Linked DNA regions of Drosophila melanogaster. The protein of the gene in region 1 binds, or shares a complex with, the protein of each later gene. Each region holds a gene or a part of one and is shown on either strand. Other genes may lie near its edges. The genes, in order: InR and Ilp5. A codon is read from its position in the direction of its gene.

What was found.
Region 2: the proteins of InR (region 1) and Ilp5 are in contact, whole or in part, in a cryo-EM structure (PDB 8CLS), measured with the Drosophila melanogaster proteins. Residues at the interface, in NP_001138093.1 of Drosophila melanogaster: Ser341, Met342, Asp343, Arg345, Phe363, Leu365, Asp367, Leu368, Tyr392, Arg393, Phe603; in NP_996037.2 of Drosophila melanogaster: Pro31 (codon at 1,223), Met34 (codon at 1,214), Arg38 (codon at 1,202), Gly44 (codon at 1,184), Phe45 (codon at 1,181), Asn46 (codon at 1,178), Ser47 (codon at 1,175), Met48 (codon at 1,172), Phe49 (codon at 1,169).

The regions. Positions count from the first base shown.
Region 1 is NT_033777.3:21,616,043-21,621,135, reverse strand, and holds the start of InR (Insulin-like receptor), read left to right. Parts: upstream 1-1,814; 5' UTR 1,815-2,114; exon of another isoform or gene 2,115-2,409; intron 2,410-5,093. UniProt on the Drosophila melanogaster protein: Has a ligand-stimulated tyrosine-protein kinase activity. Binds 3 insulin-like peptide ligands.
Region 2 is NT_037436.4:9,822,561-9,825,451, forward strand, and holds Ilp5 (Insulin-like peptide 5), read right to left. Parts: upstream 1,338-2,891; 5' UTR 1,314-1,337; coding exon 1,151-1,313; intron 1,080-1,150; coding exon 916-1,079; 3' UTR 789-915; downstream 1-788. Other genes in the region: CG43897 (uncharacterized protein), read left to right, coding at 1,986-2,080, 2,243-2,891.

The DNA.
Region 1 (5,093 bases):
AGAATCAGGAATACTATTTAAACGATTGGATAACACACAAAAAATGCGAATACTTCCCTCTTATCAAACAACTTTTTGGGCTAGAACTGTCTGTAAATTAGTAAAAATAATACCAACACACACACACACACACACACTTATATAATTTTAAATTATAAAACAAAATAGTTGTAAAGCCAATCAACATTAAACAATAAAAAGAAAATCAATTTCAAATTGTAAAATATATCGAAGACATTTCAAATTAATATGGAGCAGTAGTAGAAGAGGAAGAGAACACTCCTGGGCCCCCAACAAGATGGCTTTGGTTCCTGTTTTAGTGACGCATGCAACAGAATCCTCTTCTCTTCATTTGCTTGGATTTATCGATTGATTTTTAATTATAATATTATTAAAGCTATAACTATGTATCATAATTTGTTATTGTTATAAAATTTAAACTGTAAACACACACATGGGCCCAATAGCAGTTTATTCATAGAAGCCAAATCATCCCACAAAACAAACAACCAACCACTTAACAGAGTCAACTACAAGTACATAAATAATTATTTAAACTCTCTCCTAGTAGTTATATATTTAACTAAACGATAGATAAAAGCAACAAACAAATGCAAATCATACAATTGTAAAAAAAAATCAATAAATAAACGAAGGAGAACCGCAACAAGCCGAAACCACTGTATAATTGTACGTTTAATTTTTATAAGAGAAAACACACTTGTTAGGTACTTTTCTTTCTTTCCAAAAACAAACACATGAAAAAAAGAGAAAATAAATATTACAAAAACGAAGGAAACTTTAAAATAAACAAAATAAATTTTTAAAACCGAATGTCTACTGTTTCAATTAAACTGAATATTTAAGTTTTTCAAGCCGAATTTAAATAAGGTGAAGTTTGCCATGGTCACAAGAAGTGTTTTTTGCTAACTTCTTTTTTAACTAAGCAATTTTGAATCATCATTTGAATGTTTTTGGTAAATATTATTTTTTATATTAATTATTTTTAATAAAGTATAAAGACTGTACTGTTTTATGCATCTTTTCAAAGATTTTTTTAAACACCAAGTTGAATTTTAAATATGTGATCCATTCCTTGGATTTTGATCATTTTACCCATGAGTAGTTAGCAGACTTGTCTGCATGTTTTAAAACGCCCGCCAACTGGGAAAGCAGTGCATTTTAATGCGCCCGCCAACTCGGAAAGCAGTAAAACGTAGCACTGCTTGCAATTTACGATATTCAAGTATGGCGCACTATCTTTAAACTTGAAACTTGCGTTTCTAAAAGCCAAACCCCAAAAAGCAGATCCTAGCGAAATATTTAAAATTGGTTTAAATTGGTTTTACAGCAGCTCCTAGTATTTGTAGTTAGTTAGTATTTATCACCTAGGCGGGGAGTTCAAGGAAATGATTATGCTTGATTGCATGGAAAGTAGATGCTCTTGGACAATGATTACATAAAAATATTTCCTATGTCATTAAGAAATCGACACAATAATAGCGCCATTATTTTATTATATTTTCTAAATTTTTCGAAAAAAAAGTGATCCAGAATGTAATATTTGCTAATGACATTATGCTCATATAAAAGTTTTTACAAATGGAATATCCGTTTTTAGTGCGCGAGGATTCAGTATTGGGCTTCATGGCGTGTTGGTAAACGAAGAGCTCTGCTATAGGTGGCGCGCTAGTGTAACAGCCGGCACTAACAGAGTTCTGTAAGCGGTCAAAAGACAGAGTTCGAAAACGACCGAACAGAGTTGGAAAACGCGCTAAACCGAAAATCGCGTATACAACAAGGGTAACGGCTGGCAGTGTTTCACGCGATTTCGAAACGTTGAGATCGTTGCCGCGGTCGCCGTGAATTGGAATTGTGAGTGTGTTCGTCGTGCGGAAAATCATCGCTGTCAAATAGAGGCCACAGTGAATTGCCGATACCTAATACTGTGCAAGGCGAAATTATGTGCCCCAGCATTTCGTGAATGAAAAGTGCGAAAATACAAAATACAGAGCAATAGTGCGAGGTCGGTGGAGTTCGAATTAAAGAAATTCCACGAAATACAAGTGCGGGCGATTCTCGTGTGCTGGCGAGAGTGCGGCTTGTCCGGGTGTGTGAGTAAAATTCACGGTAAATAAATAAATAAAATTTGTGTACACACACATACACACACACACGCGCGCTCTCCTATTATTTATATATACACAGCATGTTGTGAAGTTGCGGCGCAAAAAGAAAGCACGCGAATAAAACATAAGAAAATTTAATTACGCCTGCGTCTGGGAAAGTGCGTCGTTCTATTTTGAAATCGATACCAAAATAAAATACAAATAGAAATAAAAATCAAAAATTAGGTGACACAACAACAACTAGATCAACAATGCACGACAACAAAACCGTTGCAAAGGGGTATGTAACAAAAACAACAAATAATAATAAAATGAATAATAGTAGTGAGAACGTAACTAGGAAAATACTCGTGAAATTACTACGCAGCAGCAATTTATGCCAAGTTGTTTTTGCTCTCCTCCTCCTCCTCTCTCCGCCCGGTTCCTCTTGTTCCTTTTGTTGTTGTTCCATATCTATCATATCTTGGGCTGTTGTTGTTCTTCTTCTTCGCACACCGCTTTACGTCTCCGTTTTGTGAATGAGCGGCGCAGCCAACATTGTTCTCTTTTTCTCTCTCTCTCTGTCTCTCTGTCGTGCGGAGAGCGGCTGCGCGAAGAGAGGCGGAAAAGAAATGAAAGAATTTCGATTGCTGCCGGTTTTTGTTTTATTATTGTTGTTGTTGTTGTGCTGGTTTATTTTTTATTGTTGCACGCATTTTGAAAAGTGGTACAGATAAGTTTTCCATTGCATTAAATTAAGCCAGCACTAAAAGAGTAACTAACATTATTATTAAAAATAGTATTTCATGAAATTACTTAGTACTATTGCTAAAGACTGTCTCCTTATTGTCCTTGGTAAGTTTTAAAATTAATCATACAAGCGTCAATAAGAGCTATTCAATAGAATTTTATTAAATATTTATAGAATTAGTATAAATTATTAAAAAAAACAAAACAATAAACTTCAAAGAAGTGTCTTAGTCGACTTCCATTAAACACCCATACATTTTTCCTTAAAAGGCGCTTTAATATGTATGTTGCTCTCACCCCCTCTTCAGGACCACCTGCAAAACTCAATTTTTTATTTAATATTTCAAAAATAAAATTGAACTCACCTGTTGACTTGTCATGATTTTCAAACCTTTATAATTCTAAAGTTATACTTTGGAAAATGTGTTGTTTTTTAATGTATGGTGGACACCACACTTTCAGCGGTTGTCAAAAAGTCATGACAGTGCTGTTTTTTATTTTATTTTGGAGCTCGTAATTAGAGTGACCAAAATGCTGAGTAAACCAGCCAAATATATCCAGTACAATTTTAAAGCTCTCACTTGCTAAAACAAATCCCAAAAAGTTGATCAAACTATTTGCTCAAACTGTGACCTTATAAATCGGGTTTCTTTTTATCTTTAAGGTATATGTATAAGATATCCATTAAATTTAGTTTAATGGAGACTTTGTAAAAACGTTTGGAGCTTCTACAATGTTTTCATTTTATAAACATTAATTATTTAATGCCAACTTAAGCAGGTTGAGACTTTAATGACTTAAGTTGACATTAAAAGTGGGATATCCCTTTAAAAGAACGAGATAAAGATACACCCACGATTTACGGGCTTTTGATTTTGTGTTGTATCCGCAACGGAAGCAGATCAATAGATCGGGGGTCTGTGGGTGTACTGAAATAGTGATAAATGGGAAGATATTTCCCAAATAACTGGCGTGGAGATATTACGGGTAAGTGGTTTTGTGGGCGGGAAGGTGGAAAATGGGGAAATGTGGGGATGGGTCCGCTTGCTAATTAAAAAGCATAAGCACTAATTGGCGTGCCGCTGCGCTTGTTGTTGCTATTTGCGTTGCCGTTGAACTGCCCACTTGCTGTGCTCTTATTATATTCGCGTTATTATTGTATAATAAGAGAGAAATGCCATAAAAAATTGGGAGGTTGGGTTAAAACAACAGGCAAAACCGAAGTAGAAAAAAAAAACACCAGAGAATTGCGCATTTTTGTATTAATCATGCTATATTTTTGACGAGGCCCGAAGAATGTTGGCCAATGTATTTGTATTTGTGCGTAATTTATTTATTTTTAAATCGAGTTTGCCTGCCTGCTCTCTGTGCATTTGTGTGTGTGTGTGTGTGTGTGCGAGCATAAGTGCGAGTGTGTGTGCGTGCTGCGACAAAAATAAGTCGCCGCAATAACAAATTGCTGAAATAGAACCAAAATAAAGCAGAAGAACAGAAGAGATCTATAGAGGATGAGGCAATGACGGAACCCGGGCCAAGTTTGTTGTTGTTGCGCCTGCTTTTGTTTCTCTGTATTTTTATTATTTTATTTTTGTGCATGTTATTTCTGATATTGGCTTTTTAATGGTGTGGCTAAAAACCGGAAATTGTTTGTCCGGCTATTGTTGATGACGTATGACCATCGAGTTGTTGGCGGCTTTGGCGCATAATTTGGCCACACTAATTAACAGTGCCGAAACGAACAACAAAAACACACATGCCGCCACCAACACGAATGCCTTTTAAAGCGAGAAAAAACAAAAAAAATGCTCTGACCACATGTCTAAACGTAGCTGCGCGCAGGCCAGAAAGAGAGGGCACGATTGCCGAAAGAGAGTGGCCGGTGATAAGCCTGTATGTGTGTGTGTGTGAGCCGAGCGAGACAAACAGACAGGTGTCATTGACCTTTTTCGCTGCGAAACAGCACACACACACACACATTCACACAGCCAAACAATTTTGTGTGCACTTTTTTCAGCTGCGTTTGCTTCTTTTCCCTCTCCACCCTCTGCCCCTTTCGCACTCTTGCCCTGCTGCCGCTGCTGCTTTTTCTCCTTTGTTGTTGCTGCTGCCTTCACTGCTTATGCTGTGAACTGCTTGGCCTTGAACTTAGACGCGCGTCTTCTAATCGCTCCACACTCCCTCCGCTGCCACGCCCACACATGCATGCACGCACTGCGATGTTGTTGTTTTTGTATT
Region 2 (2,891 bases), on another chromosome or scaffold:
AGCAAACGCCACTAAGTGGATATCTGGGCAAATATTTGAGCAAATCTCTATTAAAATTCAATGAATTGAATGTCTATCTATCTATCTATTTGTCTTTATTTTTGAGCCAAAATGGGCCTGCGGCGAATGAGGTTGTCACAATGTTTACACTTCCTTCAAATTAATCAACTAATTAAAGTTGAGGCCGACAGATGTGAGTGATTTTTTGCCAAATGTTCCCAGCTAAAAGGTCAATGTCGGATCTAATGAGGAATGGCTGACGTTCGTCTTAAATTGCCGAAAAAGCTTAAAGCTTGGCGATTATCTCTGGACTTTGTCGTCCATAAATTCTTTAAGGTCTTATCTCAGCAGGCACATTTTCTTAGCTTAAATATTTCTGTTTGTTATCTCGTTTTGTTGAGGCAAAACATTTCGTCCCAGATTAAGATGATGCGTTGAAAGCAAAACATTTCAAGCAAATTATAATTAAAGTTGAAAACTCTTTTTGCCAGCTTAAAGAAAATCGCCAGGCAAGCGAAAGGCATAGTTTTGTTTGTGTGCAAAATTTCCACCCAACTTGCTGCGATTTAAATCAAAATTTGATTTTCCTTCCGCTCAAAGGAGCATATTTTCGTATGGAAAAAAATAAACATTGTTATAATAGAATTTGGATATATCAAAGTGTGTTTAAAATTGTTCATATTGTTCTTTTGCTAACCATTTAGTGTATCTGTTCACTTTTAAAGGCTAAAATTATTATCGAAATATTTATAATATTTAATGTTTGAAGAAATTAAAAAGCGATGTTTCGAATTGCGCTTATTTATTGTAGTTTCAAGTTTCAAAGCCGTGCATATAGTTTATACTTAATACTTTTACGTAACATGTCTCATATATGTATGTATGTAAACTGATGGACCAGGTATCGCAGCATTTTTAGGAGTCGCAGTATGCCCTCAACGTGGAAAAGGAACACGATTTGCGGCAACAGGAGTCGACAACGCCGCGAAAATCGCGCCGAATGCTCGACAGTGAGTTCATGTGGTGAGATTCGGAGCTATCCAAATCCGCCAAGTGGTCCTCATAATCGAATAGGCCCACTGCAAGTAAAATAAGTGAGTTCGTGCCGTTTGGAAACCCCAAACCCCAAAAAAACGCAGCCGATACTCACAGGTGCCTCGTTTGGCGAACATTGAATTGAATCCATTGGGACAGGCAACCCTCAGCATGTCCATCAAGGCGGGGCCACAAGCCCGCAGCGAGTTTGCGGCCTGGGCGGATAGCAGGAGCGGGATCAGGAACAGGAGAACTGGGATCACGGAGCGGAACATCATTGCCTTGCTGGAACTGCTGCTGGATAGGATGTGGTGCAGTTTCCGCCGCTGTCAGCCATTTTTATATCCGCCGGCGCACTTTCACCTGTCAGATTGGATTAGTCTTTTGGGGTCAGCGTGGGCAGGAGCGTACTTGCTAATTTTCAATGTCAGGACATCGCAGGGTGCTATCATTAATTTATGCCCATGGATTAGCGTAACTTTCGCTTAATCGGATGCACCAAGGGGGTGGCGGAATCTATATATAATAGCTGAAATCAAAATGTATAACGATATATATGGTCTTTAGTTAGAAGGGCTTTCATTTTCAATATGTTTAATTGGCTTATCGTGCAAATAGTGCATACGATCATAAGTTTGTATTTCATGAAATATTTAAGTAATGTACTTATTGTATATCTAAGAAAGTAAAGTCGTATATTACATTTTTGCCTGTTCACATGTATAATTCTATAACATATACCAAAAGAACGCATGACAATCGAATACATGCCTGCGAGGAGAGCATATTTAAAAATAAATTTAAATTTGGCGCTAACTGCTTGCAAGCAGTCGAAGCAGTGCGCCAAACACACAAGCAGTATATACCGCGAAATTTAAAATTTTACCTCATACAATATACGATGTGCATTGATTCTTACTAATTGTATTGTATTTTTACGTTATTTTTAGGATTGAAGTCGACGATCAAATAACGAAGCCCCTGAACTTGGCCAACTCGGCCGTTCTGCGCGCCGTCGAAGAGGAAGAACAACAAGCCAAATGTGGTAAGATATACCTCTCTTTTTTGGATATTTGTCTATGCGCGTTTATTTTATGTTGCCTAGACAAAAAGAAACAGTGTAGAAACATACAACAAAACAGCAAACTCCAGTCCCAGTGCTCGTCCAATATTAGTGTTTTTTACAGATAAATTTAAATAAATTCAGGGGACTTCCCCCACAAAGATTTTTACCCCACTGAAAGGCAGAGTCGCCCGCGTCAACGAGGCGAGGTGGATGCACTGCATCACACGCTGCACCAGCAGCTTCTGAACCAGATCAAAACAGACTATCTCAGTCATCAGCAGGACATCACTATCGATCGGGACACGGTGCTGAAAATCAACCGTCTGGCCACCAAGAGGCATCTGCTCAAACGGGATCACAGCTGGCCTCCAGCTGAGCAGGATCAACCAACTATCAATCCCGAACAGAGCCATCAGATCTCCTGCAGCCCATCGCACAGTATTGAGGCTCTGAGGGAGAAGTTCCAGAGTCCCACCCTGGTTATCGAACCCACTGCCAATGAAGTGAGAGAGCAGCGACGACGCGATGGTGGCTCCAAAGAGAGATCAAAAACGCTCCAAAAGCACACCAAAGAACCTGACCTGGCGGAAGTTTTCCATCAAACTCCCATATCCAAGGGATTCTCCGCTCCAGAGACCAAGGCAGCCGATGTGGATTTGGGTTTGGTGGCTCCGCGATGTGAGTACTACGAGCAATTGGCCCACAAAAGGTCCGCCACACCAACTCTGCCCACTCAAATCACTCCATATAGGCCAAGATACAAGAGACAGGCTCATTCCCTGGATCGTAG